Anolis sagrei: one gene and its partner. The protein of the gene in region 1 binds, or shares a complex with, the protein of each later gene. Links are inferred from orthologs where the notes say so. Each region holds a gene or a part of one and is shown in the gene's direction. Other genes may lie near its edges.

What was found. The genes of interacting proteins can lie anywhere in the genome.
Region 2: TPRKB (region 1) and GON7 share a complex: the UniProt entries of both Homo sapiens proteins name them as parts of the EKC/KEOPS complex. The link is inferred for Anolis sagrei from reciprocal best matches to the Homo sapiens genes TPRKB and GON7.

What each region holds. Positions count from the first base shown.
Region 1 is NC_090025.1:80,866,132-80,873,929, reverse strand, and holds the start of TPRKB (EKC/KEOPS complex subunit TPRKB), read left to right. Parts: upstream 1-4,776; 5' UTR 4,777-4,807; coding exon 4,808-4,855; intron 4,856-4,897; coding exon of another isoform or gene 4,898-5,062; exon of another isoform or gene 5,063-5,264; intron 5,265-7,798. Other genes in the region: ALG10 (dol-P-Glc:Glc(2)Man(9)GlcNAc(2)-PP-Dol alpha-1,2-glucosyltransferase), read right to left, coding at 4,898-5,062. UniProt on the Homo sapiens protein: Component of the EKC/KEOPS complex that is required for the formation of a threonylcarbamoyl group on adenosine at position 37 (t(6)A37) in tRNAs that read codons beginning with adenine.
Region 2 is NC_090021.1:316,706,489-316,713,659, reverse strand, and holds the start of GON7 (EKC/KEOPS complex subunit GON7), read left to right. Parts: upstream 1-4,152; 5' UTR 4,153-4,247; coding exon 4,248-4,437; intron 4,438-7,171. Other genes in the region: putative E3 ubiquitin-protein ligase UBR7, read right to left, coding at 3,445-3,669. UniProt on the Homo sapiens protein: Component of the EKC/KEOPS complex that is required for the formation of a threonylcarbamoyl group on adenosine at position 37 (t(6)A37) in tRNAs that read codons beginning with adenine.

The sequences.
Region 1 (7,798 bases):
TAATGCTGCATCTGAATGTCAAGTTCCTTCACGATTTGGAATGAATTTTCCAATTAACTTGTGATTGCTTAGCAAGGTTTTTCTAGAGTTTAACCCAACTGACTAGATTCCTCAGATTACAATGAGATTAGAAATACAATTTAGTGAATTAGATTGCTAGAATTTGTTTAGTGGGTAATCTTGTCACACTCAACAAAAGATCTGCAGCTTCAGGAGAAGAAACATCAGAACTGGAGGAAATGCATACCATGACTTTGTTGTTAGGGAGGCTAATCTATGTATCTCTTTGGAAACACAGTAGAGAGGGAAGAGATTTTTTTCTGAAGGCCAAGTCATAGAAGAAAACAATTGAAAAAAAGAGGAGTGTCATGGAAATGGGGATTGGGATGGGATGGAGAGGGTAGTTTCTTTGTTTAGTTCCATAAGTAGCAAGGATCCTTTCAGAATGCCCAACTCATCCATCTATATAAATAAAAATGTAATGTTCGGGTTGACACTAAATTGACACTAAATTTGGACACAAGACACCTATCAGGCCAACGAATGACCATCACCCATAAACATACTGAAAAACACAGAGGAAATGACTTAAAAAGCAAAAAAAAAAATACACACAAAGCACATATACACAGACTGGGCCACAGCAACGTGTGGCAGGGTACGGCTAGTCTATATAAATAAAAATTTAATGTTCGTTTGTGGGATTAGCATAACTCAAAAACCACTGGATGAATTGCCGCCAAATTTGGCCACAAGATACCTACTAACCTAAGGAGTGACCATCACTCAAAAAAATTTGATTTTGTCATTTGGGAGTTTAGTTACTGGGATTTATAGTTAAATTACAATCAACGAGCATTCTGGACTTCACCAATGATAGAATTGAACCAAACGTGGCATACAGGACTCTAATGACTAACAGAAAACACTAGAAGGGTTTGGTGGGCATTGACCTTGAGTTTGGGAGTTGTAGTTTGCCTACATCCAGAGAGCACTGTGGACTCAAACAATGATGGATCAGGACCAAACTTGGCACGAATATTCCAAATGCCCAAATATGAACACAGATGGAGTTTGGGGGAAATAGACCTTGACATTTGGGAGTTGCAGTTGTTGGGATTTATAGTTCACCGACAATCAAAGAGCATTCTGAACCTCACAAATGACAAAATTGGGGCAAACTTCCCACACAGAACCCCCATGACCAACAGAAAATGCTTAAAGCCATCCAGTCCAACTCCCTTCACCAGGGCAAGAAAACGTAATCAAAGCCCTCCTGTCAAAGAGCCACCCAGCCTTAGATATAGATGATTCACAGACAGAGAGAGATATAGTATCATAGATTTGAAAGGGACCCCTAAAGAAGAACAATTATATGTTGCTTGTTCCAGAGTGGGCAAACCAGGCAATCTCCACATCAACACTGACAAAGAAACAGCAAGAAATACTGTTTACCCACAAGCATAAAGACATTATATATATTAGAAATCAACACTTTCTCATTACTTTATTTTCCAGATCAACAGACGGGGTCACAGCAACGTGTGGCAGGGGATGGCTAGTCAGTTCATATGGAAGGGAAATGTTTGCAGTCTTTTAGAAGAGTGATGTGTACTGGTATTTTTAAGTAACTCCCAGTTTAATAATTGTCTTGTATGAAGTTATTTGGGGTGAGCTGCAGTTAATCTCTTTGATTTCTCCTCATCTCTATTACTGTTCTGTTCCTCCACATTCAACAACCTGCTAACAAGAGAGAAGGGAAGTTAGGGAAGCTAGGGCAGTTGCCACTCTTACTCAGTTAAAACAGCTGCATACCCTTTTGGGATGGGAACGATAGTTCAAAATGAGTTTTCCGTGAAATGTCATGTTCCTTTTAAAAGAAGTATGGTATATAGCCCACATTCTCTTTGACATTTGGAGATGCATATGCTTCTTTGCTAACAAATTATTATTGAAATGAGGATTTTTTTCTCAATGACTCATACTGGATCCGATATACATTATATTGTTTCAGAGGGACTTACTCTGAGTGGAGAAGATTCTGATCTTGCATTACAATCTCACAATCATGTATTCGAGAATAAGTCCCAGTGTACTCAATGAGGTTTACTACAAAATAAAAATGCAAAGGACTACACTGTTAATGTGCTTTTCCTTTGATGTGTCCAGACCCTGCCATATGACAGCCAATAAATAGAGTGGATAAGGAAAAAGGGAAACAGGGAAATGGATACTTTAGAACAGGAGACCTCAACCATTAATTCTCCAGCTGTTTTCTACTTCAATTCCCAGATGCCTCCACCAACATGGCCCATGAGTACAGCTTCTGGAAGATGAAGTCCAAAACATCTTGAGGATGAAAGGTTGAGAGGCATTGGTTTAAAGAGATTAGAATTGGAATCCTTCAGGTTGGGCTAATAAGATCACTGTAATGCAGTGGAAACTGCAATTTCACTGTGGATTGAGCTTAAAGGTATGTTACACAGGTACAGCTTAATGTAGATACAGCTTAATGGTATAACATTAGAAAACGTTGACCATTTCCGGTACCTTGGCAGCCATCTCTCCACCAAAGTCAACATCGACACCAAAATACAACACCGCCTGAGCTCTGCGAGTGCAGCATTTTTCCGAATGAAGCAAAGAGTGTTTGAGGACCGGGACATCCGTAGGGATACCAAGGAGCTTGTTTATAAAGCTATTGTCCTCCCAACCCTGCTATATGCCTGCAAAACATGGACTATCTACAGACGTCACATGCAACGCATGGAACGATTCCATCAGTGCTACCTCCATAAAATCCTGCAAATCTCTTGGGAAGACGTCAGCGTGCTGGAAGAAGCAAAGACCACCAGCACTGAAGCGATGGTACTCCGCCATCAACTCCGCTGGACCGGCCACGTTGTCCAGATGCCCGACCACTGTCTCCCAAAGCAGTTGCTCTACTCCGAACTCAAGAACGAAAAACAGAATGTTGGTGGACAGGAAAAGAGATTTAAAGATGGGCTCAAAGCCAACCTTAAAAACTCTGACATAGAGTTTATGGCCCTTGAGCACTCCAGCTGGAGGTCAGCTGTGACCAGCAGTGCTGCAAAATTTGAAGAGGCACGAATGGAGGGCGAAAGAGAGAAATGTGCCAAGTGGAAGGCGCGTCAAGCCAATCCCAACCGGGACCACCTTCCACCTGGAAACCAATGCCCTCACTGCAGGAGAAGATGCAGATCAAGAATAGGGCTCCACAGTCACCTACGGACCCACCAGAATACTGATCCTGGAGGACTATCCTATCCGGCCAACGAGGGATCGCCTAAATATGTTACATTGGTGGCATGTAAGATTATAAAAGAAAAAGACATCACTCTACCTGTACTGGAGGCAATGTATTCACATCTGATAAGGGGGAATTATGGGGTGGGGTTTCAGGACAAGCTGAGGGCCTGAACTTCTTCAAGCAACAAGAATAACTGGATCTTCGGCTCACTCTTGTTTGACAAAATTGGTATGCCAAATTTCTTTTGACTAGAAGCTGGTCACTTAGAGTGCTTCTGGTGTCGCCGTATGAAGGCCCTCCATTGTGCATGTCACAGGACTCTGGTTGCATTGTAGTAGGTGGTCTGTTGTTTGCTCTTTGGTAGAAGAGTAGAAGTTCAAAAGGAAACCTATACTCGCTACAGAATAAAACGCTTTGCAGAGTATACTGACCAACAAAGACTAGCTGATCCATCTCTCGAGAACATTGTTGGTGAACCACTTACCTCAAAAATTGAGCCCTTCTTTTGATAGTAAAGATAAAGGTAGTCCCCTGACATTAAGTCCAGACATGTCTGACTCTGGGGTGTGGGGCTCATCTCCATTTCTAAGCCGAAGAGCCAGCGTTGTCCGTAGACACCTTCAAGGTCATGTGGCCAGCATGACTGCATGGAGCGCCGTTACCTTCCCGCCGGAGCGGTACCTATTGATCTATTCACATTTGCATGTTTTCTAACTGCTAGGTTGGCAGAAGCTAGGGCTGACAGCGGAAGCTCACGCCGCTCCCAGGAATCGAACCTGCGACCTTTCGATCAACAAGCTCAGCAGCTCAGTGCTTTAACCCACTGCGCCACCAGGGGCTCCTCTTCTTTTGATAGATGAGCCTTTTTCAATAAATGAACCCAACCGCCTGACAAAGGCTCTTGTGAGTCAAAACTGGTTGCAGGTTGGTGTCGATTTGTGTGTAACGAAGGGAATAGGACACCTATTGTGACTACTGGAGTCTACTCGTGTGCAATAAATAGGACATTTATGGTCATTCAAGGACTATTCTTACTCACATATTTTGTTTCATACTTGAAGAGAAGAACCAATTGTTTCTGCTTAATGTGAATGTGGCAGCTCTGTGTTTTGTTGATATGTGTATTTGTGATATATACATTGAGTTAATTTAGATACTTTTGCATTACCACAATCAGTGGATTTTGGTCTCCACAGTTTTAAGGGAACCCATTTTTCATTTCAGTAAAAGTCCAAAAGGCCCAGAGGGCCGAAGTTTGCTCGTGCCTGCTCTGTACCTATCATCTATCTGGCTGGAGTTACACTTTTAAATGTACCTGTTCCGACTTACAAACAAATTCAACTTTAGAACAACCCTACAGAACCTGTCTTGATTAACAAAAAGTCTTATAAGCCAGGCATGGGCGAGCTTGGGCCCTCCAGGTATTTTGGACTTCAACTCCCACAATTCCTAACAGCCGGTAGGCTGTTAGGAATTGTGGGAGTTGAAGTCCAAAATACCTGGAGGGCCCAAGCCTGGCTTAGGAGAGGTCACGAAATGACTCCTAGCCTAGGCAGGCGAGGGCACGCGAGGAGGCGGCTGAGGGTGAGCTAGGCCTCTTTCCTCCCTCCGTCTTTCCCTTCCTACCTGCTGGAAGCGCCCCTCGCAGTAGGCCCGGGCCTGGGCGACGTGGAAGGCCTCGTCCATGTAGGGCGCGCGCTGCTGGCGGCTGAGGGCCGAGAAGAGCAAGCAGGAGGCCAGGAAGGCGCCGCTGAAGGCCGCCGAGAAGCAGTAGGCCTCCGAGCGCTCCATCCTCCAGCCGCAGAGGAAAGAGGCCCGCGCTTCTCTTCTCTCCTGCGCTCTGTGGCGGAAGGTGGAGCCCGACGCCGCTCGGCTCCCCACCCCTTCCTTCCCGCCCTCCCTCCCAGGCCTGTAGAATCGGGGCCCAAGAAGGCCTTCACCCCCCTCCCCTCAATATAGGCTGCTTTCCTGGAGAGAGAGACATCTAAACGCGGTAGGTTGGAGACTGCCCAGGCTCTGGGATCCTGGGAGTTGTAGTTTGGGGAGGCGCCTGCCCTCTTTGGCCCTCTTCCTTTCACACAGCTGTATCAAATCCACGTTGAGCTGGGTTATATGGCAGCGTGGAATCAGATAACCCAGTCAAAGCAGATATTTTTGATTATATATTATAACATTGTAATATAATAATATGCATTGTCGAAGGCTTTCATGGCCGGAATCCATGGGTTGTTGTAGGTTTTTCCGGGCTATATGGCCATGTTCTGGAGGCAATTTTTTTTCTCCTGACGTTTCGCCTGCATCTATGGCAAGCATCCTCAGAGGTAGTGAGGTCTGTTGGAAGTAGGAAAAATGGGTTTATATATCTGTGGAATGACCAGGGTGAGGCAAAGGACTTTTGTCTGCTGGGCCTAGATGTGAATGTTTCAGCTGATCACCTTGATTTGCATTCAATGGCTTGGAAGCGCCTGGGGGGAATCTTTTGTTGAGAGTGATTTCATGTGCCTGTTTGTTTCCCCTCTGTTGTTTTGCTGCTGTAATTTTTGAGTTTTTTAATACTGGTAGCCAGATTTTGTTCATTTTCATGGTTTCTTCCTTTCTGTTGAAATTGTCCACATGCTTGTGGATTTCAATGGCTTCTCTGTGTAGTCTGACATGGTGGTTGTGAGAGTGGTCCAGCACTTCTGTGTTCTCAAATAATATGCTGTGTCCAGGTTGGTTCATCAGGTGCTCTGCTATGGCTGATTTCTCTGGTTGGAGTAGTTTGCAGTGCCTTTCACGTTCCTTGATGCGTGTCTGGGCAATGCTGCGTTTGGTGGTCCCTATGTTGACTTGTCCACAGCTGCATGGTACACGGTAGACTCCTGCAGAGGTGAGTGGATCCCTCTTGTCCTTTGCTGAACGTAGCATTTGTTGGATTTTCTTGGTGGGTTCTTTAAGTGGTTTGTATGTTGTGTTTCCTCATCAGTTTCCCTATGCGGTCAGTGGTTCCCTTGATGTATGGCAAAAACACTTTTCCTCTGGATCTTCATCTTTACTCTCGTGGTTTGTTCTCGGTTTTGCAGCTCTTCTGATGTCTGAGGTGGAGTATCCATTGGCCTGTAGAGCCCAGTTAATCTGTGCTACTCCGCTGCTGAGTATGCATGCCCAGTGTGGAACACATCTCACCACACTAAAACAGTGGATGTGGCTCTTAATGAGACATGCCGATTTATCACGGGGTGTCTGCGCCCTGCACCACTGGAGAAATTACACTGCCTAGCCAGTATCGCACCACCTAACATCCGCCGGGAAGTTGCAGCCAATAGTGAAAGGACCAAGGCAGAGACATCCCGTTTGGGTATCAGCCAGCACGTCAACGACTTAAATCCAGACATAGTTTTCTAAGATCTACAGAGACACTCGCTGGAACGCCTCAGCAAGCAAGAGTCCAAAAGTGGCAGGCTCAAATCCAGAACCTCAACCAATGGCTGATACCAAATGAGAGACTCCCCCCTGGGCACACAGAGGACTGGGCGACTTGGAAGGCACTGAACAGACTGCGCTCTGGCACCACGAGATGCAGAGCCAACCTTCAGAAATGGGGCTACAAAGTGGAATCCTCGACATGCGAGTGCGGAGAGGAGCAAACCACAGACCACCTGCTGCAATGCAACCTGAGCCCCGCCACATGCACAATGGAGGACCTTCTTGCAGCAACACCAGAAGCACTCCAAGTAGCCAGATACTGGTCAAAGGACATTTAATCAACTACCAAACTCACACATTTTGTATTTTCTCTGTTTGTTTGCTTTGTTCTGTTAGAAATGTAATATAATTGACTGGCTGCCCTGACACAAAAAATAAAATCCCACAAACGAACATTACATTTTTATTTATATAGATATTTACATAGTGGTCCTTCTAAAACACAGACATGTGCTTTTCATCTTAAGAACAGACAAGTATCTCAAGCTTTGAGGATTACCTGGGAAGAAATTCCACTGGAGCATTGCAGCACACCAAAATACCTGGGAGTTATCCTGGACTATGCTCTGATTTACAAGAAGCACTGCTTGATTATCTAGCAAAAAGTGGGTGCTAGAAATAATATCACATGACAGCTGACTGGCACAACCTGGGGATCACAACTAGATATAGTGAAGACATCTGCCCTTGGGCTTTGCTACCTTGCTGCTGAGTAGGCATGCCCAGTGTGGAATACATCACACCACATTAAAACAGTGAATGTGGCTCCTAATGAGACATGTTGTATTATCACAGGATGTCTACGCCCTACACTACTGGACAAATTATACTATTTAGCTGGTATTGTACCACCTGACATCTGCCGGGAAGTAGTACAGGGACAGGAATTGAGATGAAATCTTCTGAACGGGAGCACAGACAGCAAAACAAACTCCACAGGGGTGTTAACCATTACCTATGCCACCCAAAGATCAAAATTATATATTCTTGGCTGGAGTTACACTTAAAAATGTACCTGTTCTGACTTACATACAAATCAAACTTAAAAACAAACCTACGGAA
Region 2 (7,171 bases), on another chromosome or scaffold:
CGTAAGGGAGAACTCATAGAGAGAGAGGAAATTAAGCCAATCTTCATGTGTGTTTGTGTGTGTGTGTGTGTGTGTGTGTGGGATGGGGGGGGGGCGGGGGACTCCTGGGACAAGAACATTGGAGGAGCACTAGCATAAAATTATGTGGCTATTCTTCGAAAGCGCGACGGCAGACAAACTTTAATTGTTTGTCACAATTAAAGTTGGCACACAAACTTTAATTGTGCAAAGGCCCTCCTAGCCTCTGCAGATACCTGCTTCCAGGTTCAGCACTGAGTACAGTAGGGTCCTCAAACTGCGGACCTATTTCTTCAGGGGGAGTGTAACCCCATGCAGCACAGGTTGGATCCCTATTCCTGGTCTGCCTTCCAACTGACCAGGAGTACCTCTGTCTTGTCTAGATTAAGTTTCAATTTGTTTGTCCTCATCCAGTCCATTACTAATAACAGGCACTGGTTTAGGGTCAGGACAGCTTCCTTCCCTTTAGGTGGAAAGGAGTAGTAGAGTTGGGTGTCATAGGCATACAGCTGGTACCATACTCCAAAAGTCCTGATTACTTCTCCCATTAACTTCATGTATATGTTGAATAGCATGAGGAACAACCCTGAGCCTGAGAAACCCCAAAGGTCAACGGCCAGGAGTCCACCAGCACCACTTTCTGGGTATGGCCCTCCAGGAAGGACGGAGCCACTGTAAAACAGTGCCTCCAATTCCCATACTAGCAAGACGAACCAGAAGGATACTATGGTCAATGGTATCAAAAGCCAATGAGATCTCCAGTAGGGATTTCCCCCCCCCCCAAAAGGTGCCAAATCTATCTGAACAAATTGCACAGGAACCAAAAAGAATGTGTTGAGGATGGGCTTTCTTTTGCTATAAAATGCAATTTTCCAAGCCGGTACTGAAGTGTTTTGGTACATTTTGATAATTTTGATATTGGCTGCTGATACGTGACACCTGTATGAGGGAAAGGAAGGGAGGAAGAAGTGAGAGAGAAGGGGTCAAAATTGGGGGAAAGGTACCTGTGAATTCATAATTTTGTTATTATCCCTCAATTTTAGTAACATCTTTATTATTTTAATGTGAATGTTTTAGTATTTAAACATTTAACACCATTTTAATTACCTTATTTAATATTGGGTTTTAAACTCTGTTTTAACATTGTTTCCTGATATCCGGATGTGTGTGTAACCTGATGCTTGTATACTTCTGTACTTGTGCTTGTACATGTGTGCGTACTCTGACACTTACACACCCTGTCACTTGTACTTTTTTTATGCTGGTCATTGACCGTAATAAATGTTTATATATTTTTTTAAAAATGTGAATGTTGATTTTATTTTTTGTGAGACTTGGGTCGTTTTGGTTATTTACTTCTTTGTCCAGCACCTTGCAGCATTTAATGTTTGCCTGTGATGGTTGCGGGACCGCGAGCAGGGCCTCCCCATTAGATCATCACCTCCGCTATGGTTCATTGGGGGAGATGCGTTCGGACAGGTGCTATGCTGTCGCACGCTGGGCCTGTGCATAAGACAGTAGACAGGACATAAATTCTGTGTGCCCAATAGGACGCCGGGGCTGCCTCAGATTAAAGGCCTTTGGATTTCCTTAAACAGAGTCTCTAGAGTACTTAAAGGTTCAACAAAGTTCTTTATTTATGAAAACAAACAGGTATTTCAAGGCTTTCTTAACAGTCTATAGCAGGGGTCCTCAAACTAAGGCCCGGGGGCTGGATGCGGCCCTCCAAGGTCATTTACCCGGCCCTCACTCAGGGTCAATCTAAGTCTGAAACTACTTGAAAGCACATAACAATCCTATCTCATCAGCCAAAAGCAGGCCCACATTTCCCATTGAAATACTAATAAGTTTATATTTGTTAACATTGTTCCTCATTTTAATTATTGTATTGATTTTAAGTGTTTTTTGCACTGCACATATCTTACTATACATATCTGCACATATCTTACTAAAATAAGATATGTGCAGCGTGCATAGGAATTCATTCATGTTTTTTTTTTCCAAATTGTAATCCAGCCCTCCAACAGTTTGAGGGACTGTGACCTGGCCCTCTGTTTAAAAAGTTTGTGGACCCCTAGTCTATAGGCTCTTTCAATCTTGTCCACAGGGAACAGGCACTATCTTCATGACTGGTATTTTAACTAATGGGGAAATCCTTAACTTCTAATCTGGGCAATCTGTCTTTACCTCTGTTGGCATGGAGCCCCTACACCTGGTACCAACTGCGTCTGGCTTCTGTGAGTGACCCTTACCAAGCAGAGCTTTGTAGACTTCCAGGGAAAAAAGAGTTCAGGTTTCGGTGATGGCTGGCTGAAGTCCCCCAGCAAAGGAGCTGTAAGGCTGTATGATCCTCGGCCAAGCTGTGGGCTGTATAACCCCAGCCAAGCTGTAGAAGACGAAGCTTTCTACAGGAGCTCTTGGTATTATTATTATTATTAAAGGTAAAGGTAGTCCCCTGACATTAAGTCCAGTCATGTCTGACTCTGGGGTGTGGTGCTCATCTCCATTTCTAAGCCGAAGAGTCAGCGTTGTCCGTAGACACCTCCAAGGTCATGTGGCCGGCATGACTGCATGGAGCGCCGTTACCTTCCCGCCGGAGCGGTACCTATTGATCTACTCACATTTGCATGTTTTCGAACTGCTAGGTTGGCAGAAGCTAGGGCTGACAGCGGAAGCTCACGCCGCTCCCCGGAATCGAACCTGTGACCTTTCGATCAACAAGCTCAGCAGCTCAGTGCTTTAACCCACTGCGCCACGGGGGGCTCCATTATTATTATTATTATTAAACTTTATTTGTACTCTGCTAGCATCTCCCGAAGGACTCGATGCGGCTTACAAAGGCCAAGGCCTCAAACAACAACAGACAATAACAATATAAGACAAGCAAATTAAAAACATAAGCAATAAGAACAACAACATTACACTATGGTATTATGTCCAGCATATGTCCTGAACTCAAACTGGCTCCTATTCCCTCCAAAACCTAAAAAGGGGGCGGGACCAGGGAACCTAACTATAATTGACAGGTGGCTTGCCCTATGATTGCAAACTGTAATAGGAATGCTGCAAAATCCTAAGCCTGGGATTGCAAACAAACATTGAATGCAAAGCAAACAACATTGGAGCTCCTGGTACAGCTGTACCTGCACAGGTGCTGTTATCAAGTTGGTTTGTGGTGGAAAGAGGCTTCAGGGTCCGAGTGCAGCAGTGGAGGTGGAGCAACATGGGGGGTGGAAAAGGAGACAAAAAGGGGGGAATGGTACTGAGGAGACAGAAGGAAAGAAAAGAAAGAGAAAGGAAGATGAGGGGGAAAGGTGTGGGAGGGAAAGCAGGGAAGAAAAGGAGGGGGAAATAGAGGAAAGCACCGCAGACCACACTAACATGGGCGGTTTCCCCCTGCCTGCCCCTGAGAGGCCTCCTCCTCACCTGGGAGTAGCTGCACCTCTCGTGGTCGCTGCCTCCCAGCACGGCGCGCGCCTCCTGCTCGAGCTGCTCGCTCTCGGCCAGCACCTCGGCCAGCGACACCACGGGCTCCTCGCCGCTCCGCTCTTCTCCCTCCTCGGCAGCGGCGGCGCTCTCCTTGGGCCTGTCGTCCCCTTCCTCGCCTTTGCCGGAGTTCGAAGCCGCAGCTGCCGGCGCCTCCTTCTCCATCTTGCTGACAGAAACAATACTAAGACAAGCAGGAAGAGAAGGGGGGAAAAAAAGGCGGGAAAACGCCCCAACCACCGGAAGCGGAAACGAAAGTTGCCGCGACGCTCACGGATCTCAAGAGGGGAGAGACCAAAAAAAAGGAAAAGGGATGTGTCACGTGTCACGCGGGAGCCAATCAAAGCTAGAGGACGGAGGAAAGCTGAGCACTTGGGTGCGGAATCACGTGAGCCGCGAAGGGCCAATCAGGGCCGGGCAGATCTGCGAGAGCCAATCAGAGCCTCTAAAGACGGCGAAATGTTAACTATGCAGACTGTGATGTTGAGATCATAAGAGGGAAAGAAAAGGGAGCAGAATCACGTGAGACCACTGAGCCAATCGGAATCAATCAGAGCTAGAAGGAGGCGAGGCTGGAGAAAACAACGCACAACAGCTAGGGAAGAGACTGGGCGGGGCTCTGACGTCACGCTGGTGGGTGTGGCCAAAGGAGGACGACTTGGGTTTCCTCTCTCCGAGAAAGTTCTGCTTCCGGTTCAAAGCGGTGAGGAGATTGGTTGCCTAGCCACGTCGGGAAGGGCGAGATGGAGCTGCGGGCGGAGCTGACAGGCCGCGGAGGGGAGAAGCGACCGCTGCGGGTCTCTTGCGAGCCTCCGGGGGAGCTGCGGGGCCTCCTCGGGGGCTTGGCACGCCTTCGGGAGCAAGTCAGCGCCCTCCTCGGCCCACTGGTCGAGCAGGAGAGCCGCGCCGGCGGAGAGCCGGGCGCGGGTGCAGGTGAGGGCCCCGCAGGCCTTGGCAGAGGGCCCGCCTATGTGCAGGGAGCATCTACACCAGGCATGGTCAAACCTCGGCCCTCCAGGGGTTTTGGACTCCAACTCCCACAATTCCTATCAGCCTCGGGCCCCTTCCTTTTCCCCCTCAGCCGCTTAAGCGGCTTGACCATATATGCCATCTTTCTTCTTATCTTCTATCTGTTGTTGTTCATTCGTTCAGTCGTCTCCGACTCTTCGTGACCACATGGACCAGTGCACGCCAGAGCTCCCTGTCGGCCGTCACCACCCCCAGCTCCTTCAAAGTCAGTCCAGTCACTTCAAGGATGCCATCCATCCATCTTGCCCTTGGTCGGCCCCTCTTCCTTTTGCCTTCCACTTTCCCCAGCATAATTGTCTTCTCTAGGCTTTGCTGTCTCCTCATGATGTGGCCAAAGTACTTCAACTTTGTCTCTAGTATCTTTCCCTCCAGTGAGCAGTCGGCCTTTATTTCCTGGAGGATGCACTGGTTGGATCTTCTCGCAGTCCAAGGCACTCTCAGCACTTTCCTCCAACACCACAGCTCAAAAGCATCGATCTTCCTTCGCTCAGCCTTCCCTAAGGTCCAGCTCTCACATCCGTAGGTTACTACAGGGAATACCATGGCTTTGACTAGGCGGATCTTTGTTGCCAGTGTGATGTCTCTACTCTTTACTATTTTATCGAGACTGGACATTGCTCTCCTCCCAAGAAGTAAGCGTCTTCTGATTTCCTGGCCACAGTCTGCATCTGCAGTAATCTTTGCAACTAGAAATACAAAGTCTGTCACGGCCTCCACAATTTCTTCCTCTATTTTCCAGTTGTCAATCATTCTTGTTGCCATAATCTTGGTTTTTTTGATGTTTAGCTGCAACCCAGCTTTTGCGCTTTCTTCTTTCACCTTGATTAGAAGGCTCCTCAGCTCCTCCTCGCTTTTGGCCATCAGAGTGGTGTCATCTGCATATCTGAGGTTGTTAATGTTTCTTCCAGCAATTTTCACCCCAGCTTTGCATTCATCAAGCCCCGCACATCGCATGATGTGTTCTGCATACAAGTTAAAAAGGTTGGGTGAGAGTATGCATCCTTGCCGTACGCCTTTCCCAATCTTGAACCAGTCTGTTGTTCCGTGGTCAGTTCTTACTGTTGCTACTTGGTCCTTGTACAGATTCCTCAGGAGAGAGACAAGGTGACTTGGTATGCCCATCCCACCAAGAACTTGCCACAATTTATTATGATCCACACAGTCAAAGGCTTTAGAATAGTCAATGAAGCAGAAGTAGATGTTTTATAGATCTATCTATCTATATAAATAAAAATGTAATGTTCGTTTGTGGGATCAACATAACTCAAAAAACACTGGAGGAATTGACACCAAATTGGGACACAAGACACCTAACAGTCTAACGAGTATCCATCTCTCATAAATCCCCCCCCCCCAAAACAGTGGAAAGGACTTTAAAACCCCAAAAATGCTAAATGATGAAAAACTAAATGACAATACAGAAAAAGGGAAGGAAGGGGAGAAAGAAAATAAGAAAGAAAGAGGGAGGGAAAGAAAGAAGGAAGGAGAAGGAAAAGAAAAGGTGGGGAGAAAGAAAGGAGAGAAGGAAAGAAAATAAGGGAAGGAAGGAGGGAAAGGGAAAGAAAGAGGGAGAGAAGGAAAGACAGAAGGAAGAAAAGAGGTAGAGAAGGAAGAAAGGAGAAGAAAAAAGGGAAAGAAAAGGGGAGGGGAAGGAAGGAAAGAGGGAGAGAAGGAAGGAGAGAAAGAAAGAAAAAAGGGAAGGAAGGAAAGAGCGAGGGAAGGAGAGAAAGAAAGAAGAGAAAGTGGCGGGTACAGCTAGTATATAAATAAAAATGTAATGTTTGTTTGTGGGATTAACATAACTCAAAAACCACTGGACAAATTGCCCAAGGAGTGACCATCACTCAAAAAAATTAATTTTGTCATTTGGGAGTTGTAGTTGCTGGGATTTATAGTTCACTTACAATCAAAGAGCATTCCGAACTCCACCAACAATGGAATTGAACTTGGCACACAGAACTCCTATGACTGACAGAAAATACTGGAAGGGTTTGATGGGCATTGACCTTGAGTTTGGAAGTTGCAGTTCACTTACATCCAGAGAGCGCTGTGGACTCAAACAATGGTGGATCTGGACCAAACTTGGCACAAGCACTCAATATGCCCAATTATGAACACAGATGGAGTTTGGGGGGAATAGACCTTGGCATTTGGGAGTTGTAGTTACTGGGATGTATAGTTCAGTTACAATCAAAGAGCATTCTGAACCCCAGCAACTAGAGAATTGGGCCAAACTTCCCAGACAGAACCCCCATGGCCATTGAGTCCAACTCCCTTCACCAGGGCAAGAAAACGTAATCAAAGCCCTCCTGACAAAGAGCCATCCAGCCATAGATATAGATAGATATATATGAGTAACACACACAAGTATAGTATCATAGATTTGAAAGGGACCTCTAAAGAAGAACAATTATATGTTGCGTGTTCCAGAGTAGGCAAACCAGACAATCTCCATATGAACACTGACAAAGAAACAAAAAATACTGTTTACCCACAAGCATAAAGAAATTACATATATTAGAAACCAACACCTTCTCATTACTTTATTTTCCAGATCACGAGACTGGGCCACAGCAACGCGTGGCAGGGGTTAGCTAGTCTATATAAATAAAAATGTAATGTTTGTTTGTGGTATTAA